4 linked regions of the Schizosaccharomyces pombe genome follow. The gene in region 1 interacts genetically with each later gene. Each region holds a gene or a part of one and is shown in the gene's direction. Other genes may lie near its edges.

The links.
Region 2: mutations in san1 (region 1) and pam17 together harm fitness less than expected from each alone (positive genetic interaction), as found in Schizosaccharomyces pombe (one large-scale study listed by BioGRID).
Region 3: mutations in san1 (region 1) and SPOM_SPAC15E1.02C together harm fitness more than expected from each alone (negative genetic interaction), as found in Schizosaccharomyces pombe (one large-scale study listed by BioGRID).
Region 4: mutations in san1 (region 1) and naa35 together harm fitness more than expected from each alone (negative genetic interaction), as found in Schizosaccharomyces pombe (one large-scale study listed by BioGRID).

What each region holds. Positions count from the first base shown.
Region 1 is NC_003423.3:2,952,065-2,957,485, reverse strand, and holds san1 (RING finger protein), read left to right. Parts: upstream 1-2,027; 5' UTR 2,028-2,444; coding exon 2,445-4,670; 3' UTR 4,671-4,891; downstream 4,892-5,421. Other genes in the region: putative transport protein Tvp23, read left to right, coding at 354-520, 582-1,017; SPOM_SPBC2A9.03 (WD repeat-containing protein), read right to left, coding at 4,989-5,421.
Region 2 is NC_003424.3:1,553,087-1,556,467, reverse strand, and holds pam17 (putative TIM23 translocase complex-associated motor subunit Pam17), read left to right. Parts: upstream 1-1,647; 5' UTR 1,648-1,676; coding exon 1,677-2,087; intron 2,088-2,175; coding exon 2,176-2,254; intron 2,255-2,301; coding exon 2,302-2,333; intron 2,334-2,395; coding exon 2,396-2,467; 3' UTR 2,468-2,881; downstream 2,882-3,381. Other genes in the region: U4/U5/U6 small nuclear ribonucleoprotein complex subunit Snu66, read right to left, coding at 1-1,334; protein Dbs2, read left to right, coding at 3,255-3,381. UniProt on the Schizosaccharomyces pombe protein: Component of the PAM complex, a complex required for the translocation of transit peptide-containing proteins from the inner membrane into the mitochondrial matrix in an ATP-dependent manner.
Region 3 is NC_003424.3:3,720,730-3,723,418, reverse strand, and holds SPOM_SPAC15E1.02C (uncharacterized protein), read left to right. Parts: upstream 1-1,582; 5' UTR 1,583-1,662; coding exon 1,663-2,109; 3' UTR 2,110-2,162; downstream 2,163-2,689. Other genes in the region: rpl42 (60S ribosomal protein eL42), read right to left, coding at 400-420, 611-910; bud6 (actin-interacting protein 3), read right to left, coding at 2,456-2,689.
Region 4 is NC_003423.3:4,131,628-4,139,146, forward strand, and holds naa35 (NatC N-acetyltransferase complex subunit Mak10), read left to right. Parts: upstream 1-2,031; 5' UTR 2,032-2,091; coding exon 2,092-3,786; intron 3,787-3,831; coding exon 3,832-4,263; 3' UTR 4,264-4,353; coding exon of another isoform or gene 4,354-6,900; 3' UTR 6,901-6,958; downstream 6,959-7,519. Other genes in the region: ARS-binding protein Abp2, read left to right, coding at 75-1,658; RNA-binding protein Prp24, read right to left, coding at 4,354-6,900, 6,959-7,224, 7,349-7,519. UniProt on the Schizosaccharomyces pombe protein: Component of the NatC N-terminal acetyltransferase.

The sequences.
Region 1 (5,421 bases):
TTTGTTAATAAAATTAGGAATTCAGTATTACAGAAAAATTTAATTTACTTCAAATGCTTAGATGATAGGCATTAACAAAATTAAACAGACAGGCAGTCAGATTCATACTTTGGATATTATATGCATTACAGTTTTAAAAAAATTTAATAAACATTTTCGTTAGAAGAATATTATAAAACTTAAATTAACAACTAAACATTCACTTTCGAATACGATCTTTTAGAAAACCAGGCTTGCTACACAATAAGAATCTTCGTTAAGGTTCCTTATTCGCATACTGTCAAACCCCTGCTGAGATGTTCACCTCTTTGGATCGAAACCTTTACGTTGATAACCATATCACGTTGACGAAAATGGACTATCAAAATACGGAGACAATTGCCGAGCAGGAAAGGAATGCTAGTAGGCTACCGCAGATGTTTCAAATGTCTTCGCATCCTGTAGCTCTTTTCTTCTTTCTTTTATTTCGTACCGGTGCAATTGTGGCATACATATTGGGCATGTTCTTTACCTCAAGTTTGTAAGTTTTTAATAGCAGAAATTTAAAAGAAAAAGAAATTGAGCTAAACAAATAAAAATAGTATGTTGTTGTTTATTGTAATTTTCACTTTGCTAGCTGTTGATCTTTGGACTGTTAAAAACGTCTCTGGTCGTTTACTAGTTGGTTTGAGATGGAGAAATGAAACTGGAGTTGATGGTGAAAGCATTTGGATTTTCGAATCGGCAGATCCCAGTCGTCCCAGAAACGCCGTTGATCAGAAGACGTTTTGGTACGCTCTCTATCTATATCCATTTATTTGGATCATATTGGGGATTGTAGCTATAATTCGATTTGAATTTCTCTGGCTTGCACTCGTTGCTGTCGCAATTGGACTGACAAGTGTTAACACCGCTGCTTACAGTCGTTGTGACAAAGACGCGAAGCGTCGTTGGGCTACAGAACTTGCAGATTCCAATTCTTCTGGATTTGTTTCCAGATTTTTATCTAGGGCTTTTATCAAGAGATTTATTGGTTAAAGCTCTTTCAAATTCTGTAAATAATTTTTCGAACTACATTGCATTTTAAGCTCATTGTATATGAAAAAGCTAATTTCATGGGATTCTGGCTTAACGATTTGCTTGTTAATTAAATTGACGAAAGCGCTGGAACGATATTGTGTTTTTACTTCCCAACTTTGAAATGACAGAGCGTCAATTTGAATCCTTAAGCATCAACTGATTACGTATTTTTATAATACAAAAGCCAAAAGACTGTATGACGGATCCTGTATTTTAGTATGAGTTTATATAACCTCCCATACTGTTACTTTCAAGCATATATCTTCTTTTCTGATTGAATATTTGAATAGAGCCCAATGGTTATTTTTAGGTGCACATTACGTTCTTTTATTCATACATTCTTTTATGGTTAATACTATCACACAAAGTTTCATGAAGGCCAACTGAGATCTTTTGAAACCCACTACATTTATTTTTCCATTGATAACATTCTTAGTTAGACTTCAAATATTTACGCATGGAGTGCTTAATAAGATACCGATGAACGAAACTTCAAAGTTTGGTGCTACTTTTTATTTCGACAACTATGTTCCTGCGTGTGTTTGCTGTGAACTTAAAATTTAATACTTTCTTATTAGTGATGAACATATATTGAAACGAAGTTCTTATAACAGCATAATAAAAGCGGAAAGAATATGTAATTGTTAGTTTCTAATATACATATTTTAAATGGCAAAATATGTATTTAGATGATTCCTTTACTAAAGAGCATATCATTTTTTTAGTACATATATAAAGCATTAGCTTAAATGTCAATTATAAATTCAAGGATATGCGGTTTCTTACACGATTCGCAGAATTTCGGTTTTCATATGCTTTATGTCAACAAACCTCCCAACTATCAAATAAGGAGAACCTTTTATAACTCCTTAAAAATATTAAGGTATTGAATGTCCTAATGAACGCCCACATGTTCACTGTCTCTATTGGCAATATATAATGGAAGTCCCTGGTTTTCTATTTTGTTCAACACCACATTTTGCACCTTAAAAGATAGTTTAAGTGGAAAGGTGCACTTTATAACATTCTATAACGTCTTTTATTTTCTATTTACTTTTTTTTTTGCTTGCCTAAATAAATATTGAAATATTCAGTGGCCAGAAAACCCCGATGGAGAATGTTACATTTTCCTTACCATTAAATTTTTGATTCCTGTTTTTTTATTACCGCAGCAATCATATTTTACCATATTCCTCCTTTGTATATAATAAGTCTCCTACAAATATTTCCTTTGTCTTATTTGTTGTTTTTATTTTGAGTACTGCTTTATTTATTTAGATTCGACTTTATTGTGGTCGTTTTATTTCTTTTTTTTGGTTTTATTATTAGACCACTGAGGTACTAGTTTTTTGTATAGAATCTCCTGTTACAATTATCTGTTTTAAATGGATTCCAATACAAATGAGAATAATTCTCATGCATCATCAAACGAGAGACAATCATCTGAAGGGCATGATGACTATTTGAATCGTAATCCAAACAGTGAAGCAACTGAGGGTGAAGAAGGTACCCACCCTACCACGGGGACTCAACCAGTTGCTTTTTCAATTGGTACAATGTTTATCATAACTCCTCAAGCCAATTTCGAGGGTGGAGAAAATGATCCGTTTGCCAATCCCTTTCAACCACCCGTAAAACGCGCTGTAAAAGAAGCCTGGGATTCTTTCGAACCTTTGTCTAATGACCAACTGATGGATTTGACTTGTCCGATCTGTTACGATGATATGAATGAAAATGATGAAAAGCAGGCTACCAAGATGCCATGTGGCCACATATTCGGTAAAAATTGTTTACAAAAATGGCTTGAAAATCATTGTACATGTCCTCTTTGTAGAAAAGAGGTTCCCCACGAAACAGTAGGTTCAGCTCATCCTCCTATTTTATTTATCATTCCACACTCACATACGCTTCGTGGCAACCAAGGCAACACCGCGGTTTCTCAAGAAAATGCATCAAATGGTGTTCATTCCGACTTTCATCCATCTGAGGAGCTTAACAATGCAAACACTGATGGTCGAACCGGCGTAGACGAACCAGCTCGGCAACTGCATCGCATTGCTTTTAACCGAATACGTTTTATTCTAGCTCCAAATCGATCTGCCACCAATACCCCTGTTGAAAATACTCACCCTGAAAACCCTGACTCAAACACCTCAACACCTACTACTCGTAGTGAGCCCTTAGCAGGAGAAGGTGCCTCTATTGATGCCGAAAATGCTAGCTCTAGACAAGAGACTACTCCTTCGGATTCTCGTCCTTCGACGCTTACGTCCTTATTTAATGCTTTCTTTTCATCTATGCCTGATCGCCCTTCCTCTAATGAACCTATGACTTCGAATCTTACCTCTAATTCTGGTAGTATGACGAATAGTACTTCCACAGACTTGCCAACTAGTAACTTGCCCTCTCAAAATGCTCCAGCTAGACCAGTTGAGCCGTCACCTTCAATACAGCCTCCCAATTTGCTAAATCTTCCAACGGCTTCGCCTGAATCAACTTCATGGCTTCCTGGAAGCCAAACAAATATCCCTGCAAATACGAATCGATCTGAAAGGCCTTTTACACAGTTAATGACGTTCCATGGTCTTCCTTCATTAGCCGATTTACCAGCTGTTCTTGAGTCTATGTTCCGTCCTAGCGGTAATAATAACCTGCTTAATTTAAATGGAATTTTCCATCCCGATCACAATGCGCAGACTGAAAACGGTCAAACGTTGCCAGAGAATACTGACGACACCAACAGCAACGCTACGTCCGCAGTTCCCAATCTACAGAATTTAAATCAGCAAAATGCTGTAACTATGGGTACAAATACACCAAATAATGGTTCCTCCCCTGCTGTTCATCCAGTAATTCATATATACTTGTCGAGACCGCCTTTACAACCTGCAGTTAGCGAACAGGAAACTCCTTCTGAAGCGGTTTCAAGGGAAGGTACTAGAAGTACAGATGCTACGATGGAAGATTCAAGTAGACCTCCAAGCAATGGCTCTTTCCAAGGTCCTGGTATTACCCATCTCAGTGAAATGGGGCAGCGCATTTTGCAAAGGTTTCAGGAAGAAATGGAGAATCGAATGAATCAAACTAGAAGTGAATCGAGCACCCCTGCTCAGCAATCAGCTGCTGGAAGCAGCATTAATGTTGACACTGCCGGGCGACAACCTTCCGATGAGATAAATATTCCTGGCGAATACGAAAACTCGAGTGAAGTTGCAGGATCACGAAATCAAACTCCTACCCATTCTTCCATTGCTGTAGACACCTTGAGTAATGTTGCGGTAGACCAGCCTGCGATATCCACTCCGTCGGACGTTGTTGGTAGTGATGCCGGTGATACTAGCAAGGTTTCGTCGGGAACTAGCACTCCTCGAATGGCTGCTCCGATTGCTAGACGATCAAATCGGCATCATCCGTATAGCAGACCTAGCTCAACGCGTCCTCAGTGTCAGCTTGAGGATCAAGGCATTTGTGATCCTAATGATAGATTTGTGCACTTCGAATGCGGTCATTCAGTACATGAAAGATGCCAGCAATCTACTAGCAACTCCGAAAATCAAATGGACGAAGAAATTGGAGAATGCCCAAAATGTCGTAATGAAGAGCATAAGTAATGTTTGTGTTTTTTTACTCTTTTGTTATCTTTATCATGAAAAATATAGTTGTTTGTTTATTATGCCTTTTTAAATCTTCAATACAAATTTGGTGATGTCCCTTTAGAGTATCAATATTTCATGCTATATAGATTTTTATTGTTTTTGTATTATTTATATCTCAATACTTATCATCTATATTATTTGCTCTCCTATAAACTAAATGATTATTTGACTATTACAAAAAATCTCATTATTTTTTTCAACGTTCATTAATAGTTTTGTTTGGTACCAAGGAATTTATTATTATAAGATTAAATGACTCAATGAGTTAAAGAATTAAAATATGAAAGATAGCGGATGTTGTAAAGGTCTCCTAAATTCTAAAATGCCACCCAACATGGGATCGTCTACACCAATAAATAAACTGTCGCCAGAAGATGAGTAAGCGGTTCCGGCGATTTCTCCAAAAAAGTCAATAACTTGGGATGTATTAAATAATTTAGTATCAAAAAGTTGAACAAAATCGGCTTGTTCCGTGACAGCTAAGCTTTCACCTAATGGAGAAAAGCACAAATTCGTCACAGCACTCATTTGGCTACCTAGATTTCGAAACGACTTACCAAGGGCACGTATGTCCCAAACTTTAGCCGTTGTATCTTGTCCTCCAGTAGCCAAAATATTTCCATTTGGATGCCACGAACCAGTAAGTACAGAGTCGGAATGGGGAAGTTTGGCTGAAACGGAATTTGATCTAATATCTATTAACATG
Region 2 (3,381 bases), on another chromosome or scaffold:
TCTTTGGAATCTTCAAATGCTTGTTCATTTATGGAACCAAGAGCTTCTCGATTTTCAGTTTCCTTTATGCTATTAACAAAAGCACGCGTATCATCAAATATTAAACCGGAAGCCGTGTCCGAGTCCGTCATATCTGTGACTTCTTCGGCATTCTGCAATTGCTCAGCTACATCTTCTGGCTTAAGTATTTTCGCTCTTTTTTGAGCTAGCCTCCTCTGCATTGCAATTGACTGTTGCAAATCATCATCATCAGCAAACGACTGTGTTTCTAATTCGCGCATACGCTTTTGAATCTTCATTTTCTTTTGTTCTTTGAAAATAGCCGAATCTTGCTCAACTGACAGATCACTGTTACTCTGACCATTCGGTAGCACGAAATCAGATGGGTCATTTTCATTTTCATTTTCTGCATCAAGTTCTACTAGACGCTTTCTCCGATCAGACTTTGACTTTTTCTTTTTTGACTTCTTAATCTTTATTTGTCGATAATCTGATTGTTCGCTGCCAGTGATAGTTGGTTCAACGAAAGAGACAAGAGTCCCAAAAGTTTTTTTATTATCAGATTTATGTTTTTCTATAGTAGAATTAACAGTGAGACTATTTTGTGGACCAATGGTCGTAAAAGTATCTTCAGACGGTTGATCTGCTTCCGACTGTTGAAGAAAATCATTCTCATCTTCATACGGTTTGTAGGGGTTATCTTCCTTCCTTTCGTTTTTAGTCTTCCGCTGGACCATTTCAACATTTTCTAATAGATCATGATTATCTTCGTCTAATATATCAGCATCTTTCAATGTAAGGACTAGACCATCGTTCTTGTTTAAATCTTGAAAACCGTGTGCTATTTTCATTCCTTCTAATGAGCTATTCACATTGGGACCAGCATTTTGCGAATGTAGAGTGGATCTTCTGGGGGCGTCATTCTTCGCTTCAAAATTCAATCCATTGCCATTTTTATTCAATGAGGAATTACGCATTTTGAGTATCCACGCTCGAGTATCGTTAGCATCGATTTGATCATCCTCTTCTGCCAATGTTTCAGCGAGTGTTTTTCCTTGCGTTCTGCGTCTTCGTTCATTCTTTTGCCGTAATTTTTCAAATTTGCTTTTCAGTTCTTCTTCTTTCTTCCTATTTATTTCCTCCTGCTCTTGTTTCTTCCAATTTTCATAGGCCTGTTGTTCTTGATCGACATACGAAGACTTGACTGAAGCATCTGAAAGTTCTTTCTGAGGTTTTTCTTCTGAAATATCTAAGGGTTTGAGGCCTAGCGAAATTCTAATTCTATTGGTCTCCTCAATAGAAATCGATTCAGAGGCGCCTGAATTCCCAGACATTATACTAAATCCAACAGCAAGTGACAGACTTTCAAATGCTGATAAATAAATAATAATATGGATTTTTAATAAAAAAATACACTAAACTTGCAACTGACTCAAGGATATGAATAAAATAGGAGAATGGCGAAATACACGAACCGTAATATTGTTTCAAATAATTTACTTAAACTCTCATTTATATCTCACTAAGCTATTTTAGCGTACTTTCAAAAAAAGTTGCGTTTCCTAGTATGCGTCCGCGCTTGCTAAGGAATAATAAACAAAATACGTTAAAAAGAGAAGAGCAATTGAGGCGATACGTATATGAAGTATACATTTTCCAACAAGCAAGGATTCGTTATGATACCTATTATACGGCCTGGTCTAGTTGTAAAAAGATTACAAAGTCCCAAAATATTTTTAACTTTATGGAAAACTTGTTATAATGTAAAAACTTATTCCACTGAGTCTATAAAACAGAAGAAACCTCAAGATTTAAATTGGCCCACATTCCTGAAATTAAGAAAAAGCAGAAGGATTTTTGAAACCTTAACTTCTATTCCTACTGCACTTACCGGACTAGGATTAGGATCCGCCTATTTTCTTACGCGTACTGTTGACCCTACCATGACTATTATGGGTCTTGATCTATTTACTCTATATGTTATTGGAACTATTGCATCCGGAGGGCTTGGATGGCTTTTGGGCCCTAGTATAGGTAGAAAAATATGGACACTGCTTCATAAAAGTCAAGCGAGACAAATTGCAGCGGTACGTTCATTCCCTTAGATAATAGGGGTTATGTTAGCATCTACGGACTATGTTTTCTGAAAGTATTCTAATATATTTAATTTTTTAGAGAGAACAAGAATTTTACCGTCACTTGGTTAAAAACAGGGTTACACCTCAAATGGAAAGCTATTCTAATCCTATCCCAGGTATGCTGTGAAGGCTGCGTCATGATTGATGTCTAACTCTTAATTAGATTATTACGGTGAGAAAATTTACTCCCTTTCTGTATGTGATATGTGTTATCTACTCATTTACTTTGTACACTGATTACTAACTTTTATGCAAAGGACTATCGACGTTGGTTGAGGGATCAGAAGGCTTACATACAACGGGCATTTTGGCGTACAAGCAATCGTTAAATTAGAAGTGTTGAAGTGATAGCTTGTCATATAGAATTGTGGATGAGGTTCTTTTCTTAACACGATAACTAAAAGGATACAGAAGCATTGCCGTATCAGTATTTGTGAAAAGAAGTTCATCTATTGAAATCTGTATAGTCTCAACTTATAGTACAGACTTTTCTCAAGCAAGTGTTTTTGTCCATGTGTAGAGAAATTCTAGTAATGATTATCTTAATTATAATTTACCGTGCATACAATTTCTTACATAATTTGTTGTACATGTCACTCCTGCTATTGAATTTTATCTTTTGCAACAAGCTTTTGCCGTCTGTTCTATGATTGTTGTACAACTGACATGGTAAAACCATTAGAAGCAGATATTAGAAGATTATAAATATATAACATTTTTGTTTGTAATGCATGACATGCCAGTACACAATTTTAATAACAATTAAAAAATGCATTGGTTCAATTTATAAATTACAAGACTGAAACTGATCAAATAAAAAGAATATAGCTAAACCTTTGAAAACATAATTAATAGTTTACAGTATCAGTTTTAACTTGATTACTCCTCCAAAATTCAAGAACCTTTATGTGTAAACATTAATATAGTTTTGATGTAATAAATTAGCGAAGGAGATCAAATGTTGTTTCGCTGCGCGCTATTTGTAGGATTCGTAGGTTGAAAACGAGGCAACCTTGTATCTACCACCTAACGGAAGTAAACAAACTAGTGAGGGCAATTCATACATTTGAGTTAGTTAAAGCGAACTAACTTGAATTATTTATTATTTGTTAAAGGATGACTTCGGCTCTTTACTCTGGTGGTGGAAAATCTGCAGGATCATTGGAATCGGCACTTGATGAAGAACGTCTCGAAGTTTTACGATGGATGAAAGAAAGAGAAGAAAAAAAGCACCGTCAGCTAG
Region 3 (2,689 bases), on another chromosome or scaffold:
TTTAAAGAAAATTTTTTTGCAATACTTGAAAGCATATTTGATGCTTTAGTACTCTCGCTATTTTACGCTGTACTTGTTTGATTACTTTTATCTTAGTTAACATGCTGACAAATGTGATGGGTTATTTTCCGAAATCACAACACCTGTCTTCTACTCAAGCAGTAATACAAGTCTTGAAAAGCTCTGACTCAAACCGATGGAACTAGAAACACTCGAAAAAGATTGCTCCAATATTGAGAACAGACCTTAGCGTTAGCGAACTGCTAATTGATGACAACTCATCACTTTGTGTGCTACTCTATCGGAATCATGTCATTATTTATACAATACAAATGAAACACTACTTTGAATTGCTTTTAGGATCACCGTAAAAGAAGAAAATTGTATTTGCTAAAACACTTAGAATTGGATAGCAGCACCCTAAAATGATTGTTAGTAGATGAAATAAAGAAAATGATCGATAATAAGGATGAAACTCAACAAAAGACAATTCATAAAAGCGCTTTGCAAAATTTTTTTTCTGGATTTGAGAGGTATTCAACCACGGCAAAAACTCTTTTACAAATTCGTCTAAATCCAATCCACTCGTTATCAGCATTCTTCGACATACCTTAGTCTTCTTTTCACCACCAAGCTCGAAATGCTTGCAACGCTTCAAAACCAATTGATTCTTGTATTTGCAAGAGACGCATTCCAAACGAAGGACAACCTTCTTGGTAACCTTAGCCTTCTTGTGGAAAACGGGCTTAGTTTGACCACCAAAACCACTTTGCTTGCGGTCATAACGACGCTTACCCTGAGCAAGCTTGGAATCAGGTCCCTTCTTGTATTGGGTGACTCTGTGGACAGTGTGCTTGCGGCAGTTCTTACCAGGACAGTAAGTCTTACGGGTCTTGGGAATGTTCACCATTTTTTGATACTTTTATAAGTGATGGTTAGATGGTGGTGATTAGGAACTCGACAGCATAAAGTTTCTCTGCTAAACCCTTGTTGTACAAATGTGACTGTTTCTTATTCCTCTAGGTTAGGTTTACTTGCTGCTGTAATGTCGTTCAACGCACTGTTCGCAATAGTGTGAACAACCGATAGCTACCCTAAAAGTGTTTACTGCGTAAGATCAAGCTTGCAATATATCAAATGTGGGCCAGCAAACAAAATTTCTAAGCTACATTGTTTTAGTGCTGGAATTTCAATCCAACTTTGATTCTTCTGTGAGGGCTTTTTAATGTAAAACATGCGAAAATTATTGTAGTAAATTTCTATTTTTAATCACTAGTTGTTACCATCGCTGCACTCCAAATCTTATATTTATCGACTTCACTGATTTCTTTATGCAAGACTTGGCACAGCATCCGAACAGTATGAGATATTGCTCCACCAAAAGTTTAGGAAAATGATGTAGATATCACTATGTAAATAGCGAAATAGCGACTTAAAACAAGTCAAGTCAGGCTAAGCAGTATTTCCCAATTATCATACTTCATCGACACGTCAAAGTGACGCCCCAAATTAATCTGTACCTAAATCCATAATTGGACCTTGAGTATACTATATATTTAGTGGTAGCGCCCTTAAATCCTTTAATTACAAAACATTTATTTTACAAAATATTCACATTCATATTAATCTTGTTCTAACTCAAACTAAATATTAATACAAGAAATGCCATCCTACACTCACATGCCGTATGTACGCCCTAGTGCAATTCTCTTGGGGATTGCCTTCGACCATGCTGCTTCTTTCCTCGTTTATGGACCCCTAATGGGCGATATTTGGAAAAGGGCAATGAGCACTGCACCTCACGTCGAATATGACGCTGGAAGTAAAACCAAGAAGGTTGCTACAACTTATGTTAGCAATTTCCTTAGTACAGCAGTTCAGTCGTACTCGATCGCTGCATTGTTGCAACTTACAGGCACTGTGACACTCAAAGGTGCCTTTTTCGTGGGTCTTTATGTATTTGGTGCATCTGGATTGCCCGACGTAGTCGACTATATGTTCACAGAAAGCAGAGGTACCCCTTACATCCTTGTCAAAACTATATCTTCTCTAGTGAAATCAGTAGGCTTAAGTGTTGCCTTGATCGGTTACGGCGTACGTCGTATTTAAGATTCCGATGGTTCAATATCTGATTTTTAAAACGACAAGTTAATCAAATTTTCTTTAATATCTAAGATTTCTTTTCTGTGTTTATCTCATATTTGGTTAGACTGTAAGTGAAAATAGTATCCCAATAGTGGTATTGGACAACATCGAAGCTTCCTTTGCTTGTTATAACTGTACATATTAAGGTATGTTGTAACTCTATTCAGCAAATCCTTGATTCACAAGATTTGCATCAGTCCTAGTGTAATACAGGGTAATTTCTCTCGTAACAATTAAAGTTAAAAAAAGTAAAAAAAAAATACACAAACTGGCATACAATCATTGCCAAATCGAATAAAACTTATGCACATTAAGTTAGGCTTGTCTCTTCAACATCTTCGGCATCTTCGTAAGCGTCATAGTCATCAGTGGATATCGTATCGTGTCTTACATGATGAGTCACTTTACTCATCTGTACATTGTTATCGTACTTAAGATCAGTATTCTCAAACACTGTATCACTAGAACTTTCGACTCTGTTATCGGAGTATTTAGAAGGGGTTTGTTCATCATCTGTTTCATGAGCTGTACTACGGACGATCGG
Region 4 (7,519 bases), 1.2 Mb from region 1:
TTTACTTAATAATCCAACGTTTATCTATCTGTCTTTTTACATTTTTTATTGTTTTTTAAAGCAATTAATCAAGGATGAACTTTTATTCCTTGTTGCCATCTAGACATGATGTTAGCGCGGATAATATTACTGAAAAGTTCTGCCAATTCTGTCTTTGCTGCAATCCCTGGTATGCAGGTGCTGACACGAGGCAATTAGCAAATGCATTCAATATGATTCCTAAATCAGAGGGTCAAAAATTTGAGATTTGGGTCTTATTTCTCCTTGTCCGGCAATACCACCAAAAAATAATTAACTCTTGGTCCAAGCTGGTGGGTTTTCTTGGTGTGGAACGAAAAGATGAACAATCTACTCAAAAAATACAACAGTATGTTGTTCGTTTAAAACGGTGGATGAGTCAAACACATGTTGATGCTTTTTTCGATTATCTCCTGAATAAACCAAATCCTTATTATCTCGAAATTCCTGAAACCCAACCTCAAGTTCGATGCAATGTAAATGTAACTGATGATTTGGTTATTAAATCTTTACGTGCAGGCTTAATGTCTCATCCAGATGTTAACTCTTCCTCCATCTCCACAATGCGCACGTCAACCTCCCCTTCTAACTGGATTCATTCAGCTAGTGCTAGTTTAGACGACAACACTCACAATCTTGGTAGCTTTGTCACAAACCCTCATGCAGATTCCCAAGAATGCCCTACCCCTCAATCCCTTTTAATGAGAGCGTCCCATCACATGTCTGAACGAGGTTCTCAACAAGCACATCAGACAACTCCTCAAAACCATTCTCTCCCACATCCTCCAAATATGTTTGAACCACCTGACGAAGACCATCAGTTACCTTCCGCAGCCAACAATTCACATAACCATGATCACGCTTTTCAAACTGCTGAAGCAGTTGGCGTTGCTGATTCCATTGATCCTGACTGGCATCAATGGCCTGATGATTTACGAGACGTTTCTTCACCCAAAGAAAGTGACGGGTTGAATGATTCTTGGTCTCGACAAACCAATCAAGTAGAAACGGAAAATGTTGAAAATGAAGCAGGAGTCCCTCGTAAACGCGGGCGTCCGCCAGGAGCTCGTAACAAAATTAAACGGCTGAGATCTGAACCATCTGTGTCATTAACGCTAAGTATCTCTTGGTATGAAAGATTTGAAAAGTTGATGCATGCTCAAAATACAATGCTTCGCTCTGCATTTTCACATGTTGCTCGTCTGCCCATGGAAACGGTTTCTCAACTTTTATCACACTATACTGAAACGATATCCCAATATCTTCCTCCCTCCGAAACTTCGCCGATCCCCAAAACTCCCAATTTTAAGTTCATCTCAAGTACTCTTTTAGCCCTGGTCTCTTCTCATTCCGAAATCCTTGAAGCCAGTACCGATCGCTTAATTTGGACCGTTCATCAAGGACCATTAACAGCTACTATATGTCATGCATTCAATTTGGAAAAAGCGCCGAGTATGCACTCATTAGCAGAAGCTCAGATGATTCCCGATGTCCCTATATCTCATTCAAATTCAATGGAGCCTTTAGACACTGTTTCCTCATTAAAATTAGAAATTGCCAAACTGAATGCGGCCCTAAAAGAAAAAAATTTAGAACTCGAAAATTTAAAGAGAAAGATTATGAATGCAGTGTTTGACTGAAATCACGATTCTTCCATGCATGTATCTATTTATGCAGTACACTTTGCGACTGCACGTTCCACGAACTGGTGCAATTTCAAAGTTACAAAATTCTCATGTTCAAAAAAGCATAATTGTTTAAAGTATTTATTTTGTTTTCCTTCTCTTTATTTTATAAAAAGTTTTTAGATATTCTACTGCTAGGTGAGATGGGTTACCATCGAGATAGTTTTTTACCTTTGCAGATACAAGTAAAATAATTTCAAATTGGATTTATCATTGTTTTTATTATTATTGAAAAAATTACCATCTTATTTACTCTCGAAAATGTTATTGAACAAGCATTTTTATGCGTGGAATTTTTGTTGTGACTTACAGAGTAACACTTTTCATTAACCCATAAACTAGACGTTCAATAGAAAATTGGTCAATATAGGGGTGTTTTGTCGATTTTATGTCTGTTAAAGAGTCCCTATCATTGCTTAATTCTATGCAAGGAAATGTGAAGATTGGAAATGTGGAACCGGCCAAAGGGAACGAAGGTTATGTTGATAACGCTGGATATGTCGACTGTACAAAGTCTTACTTTGAAGCCACGAAATCTCTGAAAGAGGAACAGCTAGTATGTGATCCAAAATTTACATTATTGGATTCAATCAGTGCCTTTGAAATTATGGAACCGAAAATGGATAGTGGGATTGATTATCAGCCACTTCGTGTAGATTTTTCACGTGATCTCTCTTACTTGGAAATATTAGCGTTAATGGATTTAATTGTCTCTGCGGAAAAAGAGTGGCATTATGGATCCCCCTTATCAGAGAGCTTACTCTGTAGTGCCCATGTGTTCTCCATTTGCAAGTCGCCTATTTCACAAGTGGGTGACAGTGGCTTCTCCAGTGGTAGCGGAAGGAATACAACTGACATCGTTCTTTTCCCTTTTGTTTTGGCTGTTATTAAATGTTGCGATATTGTTCATCGAGAATTTCTGATGGGAAATTTATATGACGAGGAAGACATTAGTTCGTTTTCATATCACATGTCCTTTCTTCAAAATTACCCCATAGAAAAACTCAATTATCTTTTGCAATCTAGCATCGAATATTTGGCTTCCGAGGTTATAAAATTTTCTGCCGAGTTACGACAAATTATCGAGGGAATTCTCAATAGAATACAACTTCGAATTGGTATTTTACGAGTGTATGAAAGGAGTGATATTAAGACCACCATCGATGCTCTCCATCTGATCAAAAATTTGGTACCCGAGATTCAGAACACGGTTTCGGTAGTTGATTCATCTATCAAGGAGAGCATATTAAAGCAATATTGGGATTTTCGCGTCCAAGCCCAATTAGTTGCTACAGCTCCTGTGAGGAATATTCCTCCTACTGGCATTGAGCATTCTTATCAACGAATTTTGTATTTTGCTGATGATATGCTTTTGATTTTGAATAGCCACACTCTCGCTTCTTCCTTGGCAGTATATCAGTTTTGTTTAGATTTTACGAGATTGAATCGTACTCCAGAGCCTTACGTCCGTTCCTCCCTTCAAGCACTTATCACTGCTAACAATGCAGTTAATCTAAGGGATCAACCTACTTCGTATATGTTAGAATGTATTCGTGAGTTTTCTGGGCTTCCTTCAAATTTTTATAATCCTAACACCCGTACAGTAATCGAAAAAAACTCTATCTCATCAGCCTATGGTCCGCTAGTTGAGTCTTTGATTGCTCATTCAACTAATATCATGGTTGACCTTGTCCGAATTTGTTCCCACAATCCCTGTCGGTTCCGCCGTAATCTAATAAATTTACTTCCTGAAATTACCGTTGCTCATTTTGAAGCTGAAGCGCTTGATTTGAAATTCGTAGCAAAAAGCCTACCAAGTAATGGACCGTTTTCATCATTTATTTACCATGTTAAGCTAAATGCAATTGAGCATATCTTGCTTTCTTCCTTTGAACAAAAACTTCACCAACCATATCAATGGCCCCATTTTTTTGCTGTGCTTGATCATGTCTTTTCTATCCACCAGACTCATTTAGAGCTTCATGGAAAGGATCGTAATACCCCACCTATGGCCAAAACCTTTGTTACATATTTGCATCGAATATTGAATGCTATAAAGGAGACCTATTCTGGCTATTTACTAGTATGTATAAAGCTTATCGCTTCTTTTTTATTCTAACGATTTTAGCTGACGGTGCTTTGTATGCGGTTGAATATCATTAAAACTCCTTCATTTACTCTTGATGAAAAAATTCAAGAGTCATATTACATGGCCCATTATCGTCCTTTAATTAATTTGCGTCAACCCAAGCCACTACTTCGTTCGGAAGCTGATTGCATAATCAAAAATCTTCAAAATTTCTCTACGGATGATTTAATCATCAAATCTAATGAAAAATTCACTGCTGCAAAGAATAGCCTTATTAATGTTATAAAATCCGGTTTTGAACAGAATGAGTTCATCAACCCGTATTTCTTGCAAACCAACTATTTAAAAAATTTATTATGTTGCTGCATTACAAATCTGGTTTCACTTGCAATCTTATCCAAAGATCATAGTGCTAATCTAAAAATAGTGGAAATACCTGGAAATCCGCTCCCAAGTCTTTCACGTACATGAGGTGTTGTTCGTCTTTTATGTTAATAAATCAAAATTATCAAAAGTTAGGTTTTCAATATTTTTTTAATCATTCAATCTAATTATTGCTGACTATTTTAAAAACATTTTCCTAAAATCATCGTTGCTTTTAGGTGCATCTATCTGCATTTCTTTATCGTCTAAATCGTCCTTCTTAGAATTTATATTGGAATGATTGGAATTGAAACCTTGAAACGTTCGGCTTCCGAGTCGCCGTGGGCGTGTAGCAGAGGTATTGTAATCGGAATGATTCATACTAGATGGGACATTGTGCATCATTTCATTGACAGTGGTAATGTGTAGTAACCTGCCACCAATTTCATGTCCTTCTAATGCCAAGGATGCCTTTCCCGCATCATGAATATCCAAAAACTCTACTACAGCACCTTCATGTTCAGGATGAAGAACAACTCTATACAACTTTCCGTAGCTTTCGAATAAACTTCTAAGTCTAGCCTCGTTAACAGTCCCGTCGACATTAGTGACTCCTAGGCTTTTGCTTTTGATTTGTTCGAATGATTTTTTTGGCGTTGACATTTTATTTGACTCAGTAGTCTCAAAGCTTTTAGCTAAGGTTCGGTTGTCATTGGATGATACCCTTGTTTTCTCTAGAGATTCTCGAGGCTTCGACAAAACAACGTTCAAAACTCTATTTCCCAATTGCTTTCCAGCAGCAGAAAGTGCATTTTCAGCATCTTGATTTGTAGTCATTACCACATATCCAAAACCTTTATGTTGATTAAATCTTTTCGGTATTCGAACACTCTCAACCTGCCCATAATCCCTAAAAAATGTTTCTACGTCTTTTTCATTTACTTTAAAATCAATATTTGTAACGTAGAGTTCTCTACCCTCATAGACAGCACCGCTTCTAGGAGTTCGCCGAAGCGGGTCTGATATAAAGACTTGAATAGGATACTTCTCTTCCAATAGCTTCTTATGTAACTGCAGGGCATTGTGTGCCTCATCGGGCTTTCTCATTTGTACATAACAAAAACGCCTGTTCGTGTTATACCTTAGACTAGGAAAACGGACGTCAACCACATTACCATATGCAGAAAATAATTTGGTTATATCTAATTCATCATAAGTCGGAGGAAAATTGGTAACGTAGAGGTTCGTGTCTACATGAATTTGAACAGAAATTTCATGACCCCTTATCGATTTAAGGTCTCTTGTTTTAGCAGCAAGAACTTCACTGGTTTCAGAAAATTCAATCTGAGCCACTTTAACATCCTTTTGATTGTCTTCGAGGATAAAAATGCGTATAATATTACCACAATCTTTGAAAAAAATTTTCAACTCATTTTCGCTTATATCGGAAGGTAGATTGGTAACCAAAACTGTAAGTTCTTCCCTATTCCTGTGTTGCTCAATAGGTTTCGACTTTTTGAACACATCACCTTCTTGCCCAGGTTTTCTTTTCTTTGAAAGGGCGGCTGTATCATCAGCTTGAGGCACTTTTAGTGGTTCGGTGTTTTCGACAGTCTGCTTCGTTTCTTCAGCAAAAGAATCCAATTGACGTTTGAAGCTAATCCTCTGTGCATTTAAAACGTCATATAAATGTGATGTGTTTGTGAAACAGTCATTATTAAGGTCCATAATGGATTGATAAAATTGGAACAGAAGTTGAGGCTGATCAACGTTTTTGTAAAGGCTTTTTTTTAACGTCTCAGCCGCAAGCTCTGGGTTATACTTCATCGTACTTATGTATCGAGAAATCCAATATAATGCCTGATTTTGAAAATCATGAAACATATCAGACCAGCACTTTTCTACGCTTTCAAAATCAGAGATTTCTGAATATAAATAAATTTTTGAAAGTTCAATGCGCATTCTTGCATCCTTTGATCCCTTATGATTTTTTCGCAAATAGTCTTCGACTTTATGAATTTGATGTTTCAAAAATTCCTGTGGCTTATCTTCATTAGAAGACAAATATAGGCATGCTTTTAAAAATCCGCTAAAAAAATCAATAACCTCGTCAAAATTTACGAGCAAATTTGAATTCAAACATCGATCTTTCTCTTCACAGACAGCCGATGTGGATGCTCCAGAAAGCGTCATATAAGTCAGTTTAATGGACCAAATACGCCCAATCCATGAACAGTTACGAGTAGCTCGTTCTGCTACACTGGACGCTTGAGAAGAAGAAAAATCCACTTTACTAAGCCAGGCAGTGTATTGCAACCAGAGTTCCGGAATGAGGGGATACAAAACTATGGCACGCTCATAGAGAGTTGTTATATATTGTAACTCAGCTGTTGAGCGTCGCGATTCATCATTAATTAAATCCATATACGCTTCGAGAGAATGATTTGCGCTGTTTAACAATAGTTCTTTATTAAAAATTTTTGCATTTCTTTTAAGTGTAGTCTCATACACTTTATTGCTTTTCACCATAACATCCTCATATTCGGAAGGAGACCAGTTATTTGTGACAAACGTTGATAAAGAAGTAAACGTTTCTTCAATCTGCTCATGTGGAAGTTTTAATCTATCAATATGAAAATCATATATCTTGTTTTTAAAAACAATTTCTTGCTCTTCTTCTCCCTCAAATAGAGCATCACCGAACGTCTGTAAAAATTCCAAATATAACGTCCAAACACATTGACTCTGTAAACATTGATTAGTAAATACATTTTTATCATGAAGAAAATTTTTAGTTCCTTACTTTAGAAAAATGAAATTTGCAAGTTTGGTATGCACGTTCAAAAAGAGAATGGGCATCTGTCAAAGTAATAACGCCGTTTAATTCAGACTGTTCTTGTTCAAAAGAAGAAGTGTCCATTAAGTTTAGCGTAAATTCAAGATACATACACCAAATTTTGATTGACAGATAATCTTGAACTGCCAAATCAAACAATGTTTTTATCCTCACATAGTCGTCTAAAGTCCTACAGTTTTTGCACTCATCTAAAAGGTAATCTACCCACAAATCTAAAAACCATTAATAAATGCTTGTCAAAAGATTAACAAAGTTAAAGTAATTAGTGAATAATTTTTGCGAGTCTATGGAATTCGCCTCAACACGCTTTACCTAGACGATTGTTGATTGACATACCTTCTGAAAGTGGAAAGATCGATTGAAAAGTCTTTCTAGCCTCTGACAACTCCTTCTTTTTATCTAGACGCTTTAACTCTTCAATGAGTTTAATATGACTATCATAATTATAGGGATGTAAAATCGTAAATTTGGTCAATTCATCCAGAAGCAAAGGCTTTTTTTCGTTTT